Linked DNA regions of Struthio camelus. The protein of the gene in region 2 interacts with the protein of the main gene of each other region in a biochemical or structural test. Links are inferred from orthologs where the notes say so. Each region holds a gene or a part of one and is shown on either strand. Other genes may lie near its edges.

Region 1 (7,531 bases), on a different chromosome or scaffold from region 2:
CCCTTTACTGAGCAGCCAAAGAAAAACCCAAGCCCCAAAAGCCAAAATTGATGGTGATTTGCTTTGACAGAAACAGAACAGAAAAGTGAGCCTGAATGAGATGGCTGACTTTTTTTTTTGTTTTGTTCTCCTAGCTCATACCCAGGATTACAAGAAATTATATCAAAGAAGGATATATGGAGAAAACGGGACCAAAGGTAGGTTCAGCTTACATACTTGGCAGTAGGCAAACAGGATTCTTCCAGATGGAGAATATTTGATAATGCTGTGGTGTTTAGTAGTAAATGATTTGTTGAGTGACTAATTGCTTCCTGGGTTGATAAAAGAGATTATATTCTAGCCTATAATGTTCTCTGGAATTCTGTTTAATTTTGTATGGAAAATAAGACTGGGAAGGAGGATCCTCCTTGAAAAGTAAGCAAGATGAATTAACTGACAGTGGAAACGCAAAGTGCTATTATGCAACACTAAATGGGTTGCTGTATCGTACGCCCATTAACTGCAGCTCTAGAATTGGCAGCACTCTGTAGAACAGAAAATCACATGCTGACTCCCCCTACTTCCCTCTTAAACTTGGTAGCACAGAAGTCACATCTGTTTACAGCAAGGAAATATGATAGAGCGACTACTTTGCAGTGAAGTCTATGGTTTAGTTTGTTTTTTGCGGGAGAGTATTTGGCTGCTACTTCTTGGAAAAGAATGGGAGAGGGAGAGTGCAGACTCTGCTTGGAGAAGGAGAGAAAGATCTGAGGTCTTATCTGAACACTGCTGCCTCTTGTCCTGCTCTCCACTGAATAAGCTCTGAGTCAAAGTCCCATTAAAAAGTTCAGTAGTAAAAGGCTGATATTGAATATATGCTGTTTTTTTGGCCCAAGTTAGTGCTAGCGTCCCAAAAGATCTTCCTGCAGGTCCTGGCATAGAGCATGCTCAAAGCCAACAGCATGAAAGATGATTTGTTGGTTTTTTTTTTTTTTTTCACTTAAGGCCTAAATTCTGCTCAAACTGCAGTGAGCCCTAGAAGAGGGCCCTTAATCCATCAGAGGAGTGAATAGATCAGGGCATGCTCAGATGAGCACAGTTGATAGAATTAGCACTTTTTAAAACTTAAATTGTAAAAACAACCCCCAACCAAAATACGGAAATGGCCTGCACACACTCTTCATGACAGCCACTGGCCCAGGATCATTCTCTGCAGTGTTTTCAGTTAATCCATTTGCTGCAACTTTCTGAAACCTGATAGTTTGATCGCTTGTAGAACCAAACTGTCCTGCCTCACCTAAAGGATTGTCATTGAATACAAATCTCTAGTGTGAACCCAGAGAGAAGGGAGCTGAGGTCTGCACATAGCAGTGAGTCACCTATTACCAGTTATGGTGCTAAAGTGACACTGAACTCAAGCTTGGAGACAGAGAAGCAGCTGAGGGGTCTGCCCTGAATAGGTAGAACTCTCCTTTGGGACTTGGTCTTTAAAGAACTTCTGCCATCTCCTTGCAGCAGAAGGAGGCCTTTAAGGTGCGCTGGTTCAGCCTGGACTCTCAAGAGAGGATCCTGATTTACTTTAAAAATCCACTGGTAAGAAGAGTGTTCTTCACTATTCCACAAGCCCCTTCATGGAGTGGGGAGTGCTGTTCTTACCCCACTTTGCCAGTGGCTGCGCAAGACTGAGACAGGTGCTTCCCAAGAGCTCGTCTCCTTTGTTGGTGGATCTCTTTGGAGCAGAGCAATTTGGGAACTCCAGCCCTCCTAGTAGCTGTGAGGAAGATCTAGGTCTTTTAAAAATCACTGCACCTGCCACGAGAATTTATAGTCCACTCACTCCCACCCGTGTTGCAGGTGTGTATGTAACATTAGGGGAATACTAATAACAGAGGCTTGAGAGCCCCTATATTGTGCTTCCTAACTCTGAATGCTTCCTAACACTTTCTAACACGTTTCACCCCAAGAATATCCTGCCATGCTCCTTCTGAACACCTACCAGCCAGCTCTGCAAGGATGGGTCCTTACTTCTTTCTTTGGAGAATGCCTGTGAGCACAAAAAAGCTCTGTTGTGTTTTCTGTTCCTTGTCATCAGTGTCCCCTCCATGGGTCCGCAGTTCCTGCTCCATGCCAAAGGATGGAACAATGTCTGCTGGAGCCACACTGTCAACTGGCTAATGGATGTCTTCTGATTCTTTCTTTCTAGGATGCATTTGAACAGGGCCATGTTTTTATTGGAACGACGGATAAGGGATATGAAGTACGAGCTGGCTTTCCCCAGGGAATCCGAGTGAAGAAGAGGAAACCGGGGATCACTGTGGTCACACCAATGAGAGAGTTTGTGTTTATATGCGAGAACGACAGGGAGCAGAGGGAGTGGATAGATGCTTTGAATGGAGTCCTTGCCCAGCCTTTGACAGGCTAAGACTAGCACAGAGTTGCAGTGAACTGCACTTTTGGGTTCTGTTCAGCGCTGCTCTGTGGCCTCTTTCTGTTGGCAAGGATAGTGCTCAAGGCCCTGCAGTGAGTGACTAGTACCGAGGACTTCTTCCTTGAACAGCTGCAGGCACAAGAAGAGGGGCAGTAGAGAAATGAGTTAGAGGGGGATACGGATGTTTAGAAAGGATCTGTGTCCCTGCAGAACCTTGCATGAAGTGTCTTCTCTCTTCCTTCCCTTGTCTGTTTTTGAGAGGAGGCAGCCTTCCTCGCCTGAGGTAGGGATGAACCAGCCAGCGCTGTCTTATGGAAAAAGAGGCAAGGTCAGCAGAGAAATTCTGACGCCAGGAGAGACTGACATGCATTTCCTTGAGGACCCCTGTAGGTGCTGTTATACCAGATCCTCCCGCTCTGGCCTCAGTCTGAGGTCAGAAGAGGATGCCTATACATCCTGTAGGATGATGTATTTGACAGTTTGGCACGTGGCATATATCCTGTTGGTGAACATGATCATCCGTTACTTGAGTCCATACAACTCGTGACCAAGAGGCAAAAAGATCATCACCTACCAGGAAGATGCAGAGTGTCCTGTCGGATAGACCTAAAATGCCAATTTGTGCTGGAGTTACTGGATGTCTTACTGTGGGAGGAGCACAGCCAAGCAGCGGCTGCATACTCTGGCAGTCACTGAGCACATGTAAAGCTCAGGAGCTGTGCTCCACCTGCCTGCAGCTCCTCTCCAGACAGGGACAGGGTTGTTTTCAGTGGGTTTAATGTCTTTTACAGTGTTGTATTTCTGGTACAGAAATTATAGAAATAAAAGTCATGTTTGAATTGTAGAGGATACTGTAATGGACTCAATCTGATGACAAATACCCCTAGCTGCTTGCTTTTGGCAGTCTCTGCTATTTGACTCTTCTATAACTGGCAGATCTGACGTGTGAACATCAAATTTTTCCAAAGCAAAGCTGGATAGTGGGTGCCCCAACCAAGGCATTATGAGTTCAGGATGAAGATATGCTGACCTGTCCTACCTCCGGGAAGTCCAGCTGAAGCTTTGGGTTCTAGATTCACTTAATGAGTTGGTCTAATATGGGGACTGAAAGGCAGAAGCTACTTTTAAAAGTGTTATCTTCAGTGACCTGCTTGAAGACACTCGGTGAATAAGTACCAGCACTGGAAGTGGAGGGTGAATGCCTCCTGATCGGGTGCCACTTAATCTGTTCCATGCAGAAATTAGTGAAGATTTACATGGGCTGATACAGTGCACTGAGCTTTTTCTTGCTGGACAGAGTGTAAGGTTTGATTCTGCCAAGCAGCCAGTCATTCAGATATTTGATTCTTCTCTTTTATACTGCCTTAGTTTGCAAATCAAGCGGAAGTCTTGCAAACTAAGTTTCTGGTAAAGCTGTCACCTCTTGCTGATGCTTGCCAGCCAGTCTGAGATACCCAGAATAGTTCTCCTCTTCTGCAGAAATGAGGAAGTGCTGATATGTGCAGGGATTAGTGAGATTAACTTTGTATGTGTGTGTGTGCAATAGTGGGCAAAAATGATTTGAGTTGGATCTTCATTCTGCCTGTCTCAGCCAGCTCATCACCATCTCACCCTGAGCAATCTGCAGCAGGAGTTTTGCTTGCTTATACGCTCCCATAAACTCCCGTGTTCCCATTCTCGCCACACAGCCCAAATTCCAGTTTGTGGTGATTCAGCAAATCTTGTAGCAATCTGATCCAGCAGCCACCGAAATCAATAGCAAAGCACCTGCTGACTTGTATGAGGAAGAGTATCAGTCTTGGTTTGGTTTTACACACCTGAGTAACAGGGGATGATGCTCAGTAGGGAGCAGGCCACCCAGTAGCCTAAACTTCCTGGATGGTGCTGTGCTGGTCCCACTGAGCTGTGTTACTTGCTCTCCCAGACGGGTCAGTAGGCCAGCCCTGTCAGCAACTCTACTGAGACTTCTCTAACAAAACCAGGAAACTCCCTGAGAAAGTGAAATAGTGCAGATGCGACAACTTTTTTGCCAGAGTCAGTAAAAGTCAAGGCCGGATCACAGAGTGCTCTGCATGACAGTTCCTTTCTAAGTCAAACCAATTCATAGACCAGAGCTGCCAGAAGAGGGGAGTGCTGGGCCAGGCACTGAACTTTCCGGCTGCGCCCTGCGTCTTGGCCTGGAGTCTGTGGGAGCCTCCCGGCCCGTTTCTGCTCCATCCTGCCTGCCTGGGGTGAGCTCGGCAGCCTCGGCCCAGCTGTGGGGCCCAGCCGTGTGGGTGGACCCATCTCCACCGCAGCACAGCAGCCTCTCAGTGGAGCCAGCGTTAGAGGAGAGGCACCATCCTGCGGTGTCCTTGGCTCTCTCCCTTCGCTCTCGGAGGGGATACCCTGTCCCCACCATCCCATTGCCGTCTCCTGGCTTTCGCACACAGAGGGAGCCTCTGGGAAGGCAGGAGGAGGGGCGCCTGTGGGAACCGAAACTGAAACGCCAGAGATCATGGCGGCCTCTGTGGATCTCCGGCAGCTCCAGGCCAAGCTGGACTTGAAGTGCCCATGCTGCCTGCTGTACTTCACCGACCCCGTGCGGCTCGCAGGCTGCAGCCACAGCTTCTGCCGGTCCTGCATCACCACCTACTACTGCAAGGTGAAGAGGAGCGCCGGCTGTCCGCTCTGCCGCGAAGGCTTTGAGCTGAAGGACTTACGGCCCAACCGGGAGCTGGCCGTTCTGGTGAACTTGGTCCCCAGGGAGGAAAAGGAGAAAGAGTGGGAGAAAGAGGAGGAACCGGAACCGGCCAGAGCTGGCGCCTGGGGTGGCCAGCGCTCAGCAGGGCGGAGAGAAGCCGTGAAGGTATGGCCGGAGGCCGCCCGGGGATCCTGCTAGCGGCAGCCCCCTGGGACAGGCAGGGACAGCCCAGGGCTCCTGCCCTCACCTCCCCAGGAGATCCTGGGGCTCCTGCCCAGAGTAACCCCCAGGGATACCCTTCTGCAGGGCTGTGAAAATGGGGATGAGGCTGGAACTGAGTTAACTTCATCTGTTTTCTTGCATTTTTTTTTCCTTCTGGCTACTTTGCATTTCACATGCCAGTTTAGCATTCTCATAACAGTATCACATTGAGAGGGCTGCATATATGCAAAAGGGGTGCTACGAGAGGATGCTGGAGCACTACCTGTTGATCACCGAAGGGCTAGAGACTTTAGATGTCTGTAAATATATCTTCACTTGTTTTCTTTTTCTTTCTCTCCATCTCTGTTACTGTCTTTCGTTTCCGTCTCCATTTTTCACCATTGCCTTATTATTCCTCCAGTTAAAACTAGCAATGGGCAAACAGTGTAATCCCAGCGTGTGGTATCCCTCGCCTTGAGCGCTGAGCATCCTGGAAGACAGAGCGTTGCTTCAGTTGTTTTGTATCCCAGTCCCTGTCTGTTCTTTCCCTCCTCTTTTCATAAACATCTTTAAGCGGTGTTATTTATTGCACAGGCTTAGCTGGAGACAGCTAACTGAAACATAACATTATTTATACGGTGCTACAGCTCCCCCTAGCCAAACGGCACAAAATGCCTCTGGTTCATTATCTACGTCTCTGCTTAAAAAGAAAAAAACTTTAAACAACTCCCACATTTTGATGGAAGAGATGAGCAAAATCTGACTATTGACTCGCATTATTTTAGCACTATACGCACATACGTACACACACAAGACAGTTATCTTCAATCTCTGCAGTCAAGCAGAGGGCTTAAGCTCATAATGACATTTGAACATGTAATTGTTGAATGTTGACTTTGCTGTGATTATTCACACTCAGAATTAATTGTGAGCTCTACCCCGCTTTGAACCAGTCAGTGCATCGCTAATATCCATGATGTAGGGGGTTTTATTACTCTGCTGTATAACGTAGTCATGTTTTCTCTGAGTGTTATATAGATAAACAGTCCAATGTGTCACTTTAAAGGAGGAAGAGATAAGTGAGATCTCCAAGCAACTGGAAATGACTGAAGAGACCATCCGCCTCTTGAGGGAGGATCTCAGTAAAACAAAGGTATGGATGTGTACGTTCATTAACTGCAGTTAACTTCTGTTTCCACATCCACCTGGAGAACCTGACTGACACCAGTGCAGCCTTCTAGCCCAAAGCAGGGATTTCCTTTTCGTTTCCTTTTGCTCTCATACCTCTTTTTTTTTTTTTTTCTGCTGAGTGTGGACTATGGCACCAGCTGCGTTAACCCCTGCCTTAGCTGGCGCAAGGGCCACAGGAGTTGCATGTTGTTGTCTTTTTCTGCCTATCCCAGGAGCAGCCTGGATGCTTCTGGAACCCTTAGAGGCAAAAGGCAAGGCATGAAGAGGGAATATTGATCTTTGCGAAGATGCTGACCAAAGACTGCTGGCCATAAAACAGTCAAGATCCGTAACATGCTCAAAATCCGACTGCAAGCAATGCAGGACAGTGCAAACATGTTTTATTCCTTTAAATAAAGACAGCTGCTACTGGTCTGTAGACGTCAGTCAAAGTGCATTAGATGAAGCACTAGCTTCTCATATTACACACATCTTTTCTACAAACACAAAAAACTCCGTGTTTTCTGCCTTCCAGGAATATACATTTCAGATCAAAAGCCAGATTACTAAAGATTTCTGTTGCATGAAGGAATACATTGAAAGGCAGGAGAGAAACACACTGATGTTCATTGAACAAGAGCAACAAGCAACGCAACAGAAAATTGAAGAGACTATTGACCAGCTCTGTGTTGAAGTGAACAAGCTCACAGACATCAAAGCCCAAATGGAGAAAGGACTGGTAAGTGATGAAACGAGGTGGCTGAATGTAAGTAGAAACTCTTGAGCTAAATCTCTTAAAAGGCTGAACATGTACAGAGCCCTTTCAGATCTCCACTGCACTATTCTCACTAGTTACCACCGTTACTGCTGCCAGTGAAAGTTTGGAGTGGAAAATTCAGAGGGGAAAAAATACTAGAACAGGCATAGGCTAGAGATGCAAATTCAGAACTAGACTTGTTCCGAGGAGGTTAGTGAGCTGGAATGAAGTGGGGACTGCACTTGCTTAAATCCAGTCCTGAGTCAAACCTGAGGTTAAGATCCTTTATTATATTTTTATTTGTATATTCCAG
Region 2 (7,275 bases):
GACCTAGCAAAGGTAGGCAAAATCCCAGGTTGAGTCAGGGAAGGCAGCTGTCTAAATGAGGATGCAAGACTTCATTATAATACTCTGGATGAAAGCGGATCATTTTTTTTCCCATCAAATCTTTATTTTAGCAAAAAAGGATGGTTGAAATACTTTGCACGTTTTGACAAACTACACAGATAACACTGTGGAAATCTAGTTTTTCAGATCTACTTTTTTTCCCCTCCTTTTCTCCTTTCGGGCCCCATGACTACCGAGAAACTTCTAACTTTCTTTAGGTAGTTTTAATGGTACTGCTATATGTGGCTTTGCAAAGTCTTTCTTGAAGAAAAAAGAAATAAGATAAGAAACCTCTGTGCCATACTGCTCAAAATATATGATCTGGCAGGGAAGAATAAACACATTTTAGTGATAATCTTGAACTCCAGAGCGGGAGTGTTGGAGTATCGTTCTACCAATGGAAGTGAAGAGCAGAGCCATACTGCACTGGGTCACCAGGGGCGCTTCTCCAAGGAAGCCTTCCAAGGGACATGCCAAATGGAGGCTAAGCAGATCAGAGCTGTGTAGGCTGCAGTCCAGATTACAATGGCAATAATGGCTGAGTGGAAAATCCTATGTTTGGAAGGACACTGGGGTGGCAAACAACTGGAAGATGCGAGAATCTCAGTGGAACATGGCTAGTATAAGGGACAAAGCTCCCTGGGCACTTACATGTCTTGGGTTCCAGCTCTGATTTAGAGGTTTAGGTTGGGATTCCTTTGGGAATTTTAGAAGATTATAAAAGAAGGATATTTTTTACTGTATCCCGTCATGGAAGATATCACTTGGTACGGGAGCAGCGCAACGAGCCAAAGTCTAAAGCCAGGATTCTGGAGTAGCCAGTCTGGATGGCTTTTTTGGCACCCATATGGATACTCAGGGATCTCTGCAGCAACTCTTCTAGGGAGCTAGAATGACTTATGGGAAGGACCTAAATTTTGGTAGATAGGAGAGTAGAAAACAAGATTTTTGTTCACTGTCATCTCTGAGCAAGTGGACTAGAAAAACCTCTTTCTAAAATGAGGCAGAAAGAGAGGAGTCATGAAAGCTGCAAATTTTCCAGCATGTGACAGGCCACTTATTGAGCAATGAAAACTATCAAAACACAATAGCTTGCCAGACAGACTTGTTGCAGCCCCAGACTGAAGTGAGATTCTTGGTCTACAACACCTGTAAGGGAACACTGAAGACAGTGTTCCTCAGCATTTGTCTGAGCCAACTATGCTCCACTCTCTCGCTGCCCCCAGCAGATGAAGAGCAAGGTTCACAGAGCAGAAGCTGCAGCACTTTCAAGAAAGTAGGTTGCACTTTATTCGCACACTGAGCCTGAATTCACCTTTTGGCCTGTGTTTTTTCCTCCGCTAACGCCAGCTCTTTAATGGTCAGTATTCCAGGAGAAGGATAAAAGAAAACAATGACAAATAGGAGGCAGAAACAAAGAAAAAGAAGTAATTCGGCAAGCAGAGTAACAACAGAGTTTGTTTTTTAATGGCTTTGGTCTTGAAGCTATGGCCCACTGAAGATTCTCTGATGTCTAATAAGACTTGGTGTCATGGAGTCTTTCCCCCTATGGGACTACCAACTTCCATTTCCTCTCTCTGCCTATTTTCATAAAATTCACAAGGAATCAGCCTCTCCACCTGTATTTTCAGATTTGGTTGATGCTGGCAAGTATGTACAAGGGTTACTAGGGTAGGGCAGAAGTCTTTCTGGTTTTGGTTCCTAAACTGCCTACAGTATTATGTGAAGTTCAGATAACGTGGAGAGAACATTATAAATAACTTAGATATATATGTTCCTCCTGCATATGTCAGCATACTGGCTAAGTCAGAATTGAGACTCCTAGTTATTACTGGGTGTCATAGCAACATGATTAGAAATATTTTCAATTATTCATGAAGCCTCAAGATTATATGAATGTTAATTCTATCTTTTCCATAACCCTCCACCCTCCGCTTTCTCTCCTGACTCCCTAAGCAAAGTTAGCTGTAATCCCATTCCTCAAAAGCAATTAGATGCTTTAACCCGTCCTCATGCTGCACAGTGGTAAGCACTTATTTATATGCTGGTCAACACTACATTGTGCTTGTCACTACATTTTTTTAATTCATTTACACTGCCACTGCTCTCCCAAGTGACAGACATTTTGAGAAGACATTACTATGTTTAGGCCTTTAAAAATTTACTGCAAAGTAAACCTGCATCTGTGAAGATCTGCGTACCAGAAATGGGTACTAAATATAGCCCCCACAATTTTTCAATGAAATAAGGATTGCTGGATAGCAGTTTTAGTACCACACGGGTTCTAAACCTGCCACATGAGCCCAGGCTGGAAATTTCAAGTTTAAAATGCCTGAGGTTTACATTTGCCCATATCAAGCACATTCTGCATAGCACAAATTTCTTTTAGACTCGTTGTCCCTGTTACATTTCAAAGAGGTGGGAAGCTGCAGTACAGTCACTTGGGAGAGACTTCACATCTGTGTGTGTGATTTCTCCTATTTGAATAAAAAAACAGCCATCAATCAATAAATCACCAATACCGCTAACCACCAGAATCAAACAATAAGACACTGTGCATCATCAAGAGGAGAACCCACGCAGCCTATATTATAACTGTTTATTATAAAGCACCAAGTATGCTACAGATACTTACATACCTGTGAAGCTAGGGAAAAACTGGGTTAATATCCAGTCGATAAAACAGGCTCCACCTTACAAATTTTTTCTCTAGAGATCAATGTTTCACCTTTTCAGGTCAGATGATAAGTCTTGTAAAGGGGATGATTACATAAAAATATCTAAGCAATCGAGTTTAGTCATACTTATGTAGTAGCAACAGGTTGTAATAATTAAGCAAATGAAAAATCCACACTTAAAAAAATTTGAGTTCAATGTATAAGCAGCAAGATGAGGATGTGCTAAAGGACCACATTTAAACACAGCGAATTTGCCAATAACACATGCAAACAAACTCACCCTACCCACTGTAGAATGAGGGAGGTTCTTTAACCCACATTCTGCAAACATGTTTTCATGCACTTGTGTTGCATGTCACCTCGATGTTGATTTTCCTGACTTCTGAGAAAGTTACAGCATTAAAGTTAGGAAAGCAATGAAGTGTTTAAAGGGCTGAGGATGTATACAAGAGTTTACAGAGGTACATATCTTTAATGAATTTGCATGAAATTTGAAATTACTGGTGTGTACAACCAGTTGAGGATACCGAATAGTGAAGCACAACTCAATACTTGTTAGTTGGCTTCTGTAGTGCCAATGGCTCAGAGAGCAGGACAAAGAAGAAAAACTAGGTCTGTTGTTGGGAAATATTGTGGGGAGGGTGAAGGAAGACACACCACTCTTCTGACATCTGTTATCATAACCACCATGTAATATGTCTGCCAAAAAAAAAAGCTATAAAATGTCTGTAGTCTCTGTGATAACAGCCTGTCAGCAATTACACATTCCAGATTTCAGTGTCAGAGCGCTTGCCACTCTACTAGAGCATATGGAAATGGCATAGGCCATCTACAAGTCCTGTTTCGAAGCCAGGAGAAAACACTTGACAGGGAATCACGTATCCCGGTCCGATTCCTGGCTGTGCTGCTAGCCTGCTTGGCAACCTATGGCAAACGGCATTGTCCCTATTTCCCATCATCAGTACAGCAGCAATAATGATGTGAGGTACTAGATGCTACTACTACTGCTGCACAGCTCTAGCAGTGTGTCACGGGATGCTCGCGTGATACTTACACTTACCTAAACGACCTCTAACTTTACACAAGGAATCTTTCGGCCAAAAAGAAGGAAATTCACAAAGTCATGATGTTCTAAGATGCCTTGGTGACTGCGGACTTTAGGGACACGCTTAGGGCCTAAGAGCAGGAAGCGGGCACCGTGCTGGCGCCCGGCACACGCTGATGAAGCCTCGACCCGGTCCGTGCCGAGCGACCGCCGGCAGGTGGCTGCGGCCCCTGAGGCTGCAGCCGACGGCACACGGCTCTCCCGCGGGGCTGCTTCCCCGTAACCGGGGCCGGCTCGGCAGCCCCACACGTCTGCTGCCCGCCTCGCCCTCCCCCGCCATCTTACACCCGCCTCGCGCCGCCCGTTGCTAACGGACGCCCGGCGGCGGCGCTGATGGCCCGCTGCCTCCCGCCGGCGCCCGGCGGCAGCTGCGGGCGGCGGGCAGGGCCCCGGCCCGGCCCGGCGCGGCTCGGCCTACGTTGCCCGGCGTGCCGCGGGCGGCGCCGGCGGAGGGCGGCGCCACCGGAAGCGCGGCGCGGGCTACTTCCGGCTGCGCGTGAGCCCCGAGCGGAGGCGAGACTCACGGAGCCTGCACCGCACCGCACCGCGACGCGACAAGATGGCCGGGCTGCCCCGCAGGATCATCAAGGTGCCGCCGCCGCCGTCACCGCCGCCGCTCCGCGGGAGGGAGGGGGGCCGGGCTGGGGCCCGCACCGCCGGCAGGGCAGGGAGCGCCGCTTCCGCTGACCGGGAGCGGGGCCGCGCGGGGGGAGGGGCGCGGCCGCCGGGCCGGTCCGGTCCGGTCCCGTTCGGTCCGGTCCGGTCCGGGCGGTCCTCCTCGGTACCCCCGCCATGCTGCGGCGGGCACCGCGGCCGCCGGGCCGGGGCGCGGCCTGGGCGCCGCGGCGGGAATGAATGGGAGCGCGGGGCCGGGCCTGCGCCGCCGCCGCCGCAGGCTCCGCGCCCGCCCGCGGGGGGCCGCGGCCTGCGCTGCTTCTGCCGGCCTGGTCCGGCCCGGCCCGGCTGCCGGGGAGGGCCGCGCCGCGCAGCGCCGGCCGAGGCCCGGGTACCGCGGCGGCGCTTAACGCGCGGAGGCCGGCGCCTGTAGGCCGGCCGGCCGCGGCCGCGGCGGGGGAGAGCCTGGCGGCCGCAGAGCTGCGGGGCCCGCGGCGGGGGGAGGCTGCCTGGTTTTAGCGCTTGTGCGAGGAAGGCTGCGCTGTGCGAGCGCTTGACCCGCGTCCTGAGGCGTGCGGAGGAAGGCGTTCCTGCTACTGTGAGTTAGGCTAACCTGGCGGCTGTTAAGCGCCCTCCGAGTTACCGGCTTTTAGATGATGGGTGTGTTAGCGCTGGGTGTTCAGTGCCTTACTTTGACTTACTTACCAAGCTCTGTAAGAACTGTCAACTTCGGGGTACTTCTGGCTGACCCTCTGAGTGCTTTATCACCTTAAGACTTGAGTGACTTGGACTGGAGGCACTCAAGGCGGATACTGTTAGCTGCACTGCAGCGCCAACGTGAGTCTTCTCCAGTGGCTTGGTCCTGTAGCCAGCGTGCATGCTTGTGCTGGGCTGCTAACTCCTGCTCTGTTCGCAGAAGTGTGACCTGAAGCTCTCGAATTGGTGATCAGTACTTTTGTAAGAGTTACTAAGTTATCCCACTAAGGTTCATTAGTCTTCATTGGAAATAATAGCACCATTGTTTCTCATTCGAGTGAATGAATGCCACAAATAATTTATAACACTGTGAAGCTCTTGTTGGTTGAGCACACTGAAAGTTGGCAACCGTTGTAAAACGCTAGAACACAGAATATGCTAAATATGCTTTAAAGGCAATCCAGTGTTATCTTTGCTTTGACTAAAGTTATATAATAGGTGAATAGAGGAGATGACGGAAAAACAAGGCAGGAGTAGCATTTAGCCTGTGTGAGGCAAAGACTAAATTATGCTTACTGCTCAGAATGGTAAGCAGTAGAAAGAATGAAGACAAATCTTATAGACTGAATTAATTTGATGCTCATCCAGCTGCCTTGGTGCACAGCATACAATGCTGAATATATCTCAGGTATGAGAGAGAACACTGTTTCATAATACAGTGGAACTGGTATTCATCATGAAGTGGTAAGAACTTGGCCACGAAGCTGATGTCCGTGTGTGTGGTTCCCCCTCCCCCCTCCCATGTTTTTAATAATTCTTGTGAACACAACCAAGAGATCCACGGTCCTGTAAGCTGGCACATAAGTCCCTTGGCATTTTTTCTTCAGCCACTTTTTGAAGAGGAGAAAAAAAAAAAGGAGCAATTCACACAACTTATTTCCAAGATGTGTAATGGCATGGGAATGCTTTCTGCTGCCCTAGGAAAGAGCAGGGGAGGAAGGGCAGCAGACAAAAAAGACCTAAAAACTCCAGTTTTCATGGAGGAGGGAATCCACCTCTAGACTCTTACAGGATTATTGTCTATGATAGGTTGGTGTGGGTTGTTTATTTCTGTATGTGCTTTATATATTGTCTGCAGGCAATCTATAGCTTTTGAATCCTGGATTAGTTGTGTTATGATGAACAGCTCCTGTACTGTGCTCGCCCTAGGTCGCTAGATGCGCATACAGTTTAGGATTTGAATGACTAGCTATTGTAGTCTCAAAAATGTGCGGAGTACTGTTTTGAAATGTCATAGCTGCAGAGGTGAAAACTTAACCTGCTTCAGTCTTTAGGAGAGACTCTTGGATGAGAATTTTTTTGACCTTTGCTATCCTGCTAACTCTAACATTAGAGTTAAATATTCTGTTGCTGGTTGCCTTAGATGGAAAGGAATGAGTAAATTCCACTGCTACTGGTAATTTAAAAAATCAGGAAAGGAAAAGGAAGAGAGAAAGATAGGTCAGAGAAAAGGGACGAGCCATAGAAGGCTGAAATAGCTGTAGAATCAGAAGATCCCCTTTTCTTTTTGCATAGTAACAAATGTACACAAGTAAATGGCTTTAGGAAAAGACCTTTTCCCTCTGATCTGTGTGCAGGCTTGGTATTGTCTAGCTACGGCCTATTGAGCATAGGGAATCGTGTGTATATTCTGACCATAATGAAATGCAGAATCTAGCCAACTGCTTGAAATGAGGTTGGCATTCCTCTTTTTGACCGACTGCTGGCAGATGGCCTGGCTCTCGGGTTGACTAGCAGCCCTGTGCTCTTCAGCCTGTTTGTTAGTTATGTGCAAACTGTGGCCTAGCCCAGTAGGAGAGCAGTAGCTTTCCCTGTCTCTGCGGAGCGCTCTGTTTTCAGTACTTCCCCAAATTCGGTTAAAAAGGTCACAGTATAGGTCCTGCTAAGGGTTTGAAACAGAGGATGCAGATTTACGCCTAGTTTTCAGATTTTCTGTCCTCAGATTAGTTACTTAGGAACGTAGGGTTTAAGCAACCAGCGTGAATGAATGAATCTGTAAGCTCAAGAGATGACTTGCTTTAGAGGTATGACTTAGTGGTGTTAGAACGTCACAAATGGCTA

Evidence for each region. The genes of interacting proteins can lie anywhere in the genome.
Region 1: the proteins of UBE2N (region 2) and RNF135 form a complex in vitro, tested with the Homo sapiens proteins (4 studies listed by BioGRID). The link is inferred for Struthio camelus from reciprocal best matches to the Homo sapiens genes UBE2N and RNF135.

The regions. Positions count from the first base shown.
Region 1 is NC_090960.1:5,020,331-5,027,861, reverse strand, and holds the start of RNF135 (E3 ubiquitin-protein ligase RNF135), read left to right. Parts: upstream 1-4,526; 5' UTR 4,527-4,904; coding exon 4,905-5,255; intron 5,256-6,357; coding exon 6,358-6,444; intron 6,445-6,996; coding exon 6,997-7,200; intron 7,201-7,531. Other genes in the region: ADAP2 (arf-GAP with dual PH domain-containing protein 2), read left to right, coding at 135-197, 1,495-1,572, 2,183-2,401.
Region 2 is NC_090942.1:51,333,105-51,340,379, reverse strand, and holds the start of UBE2N (ubiquitin-conjugating enzyme E2 N), read left to right. Parts: upstream 1-4,265; 5' UTR 4,266-4,402; coding exon 4,403-4,432; intron 4,433-7,275. UniProt on the Homo sapiens protein: The UBE2V1-UBE2N and UBE2V2-UBE2N heterodimers catalyze the synthesis of non-canonical 'Lys-63'-linked polyubiquitin chains. This type of polyubiquitination does not lead to protein degradation by the proteasome.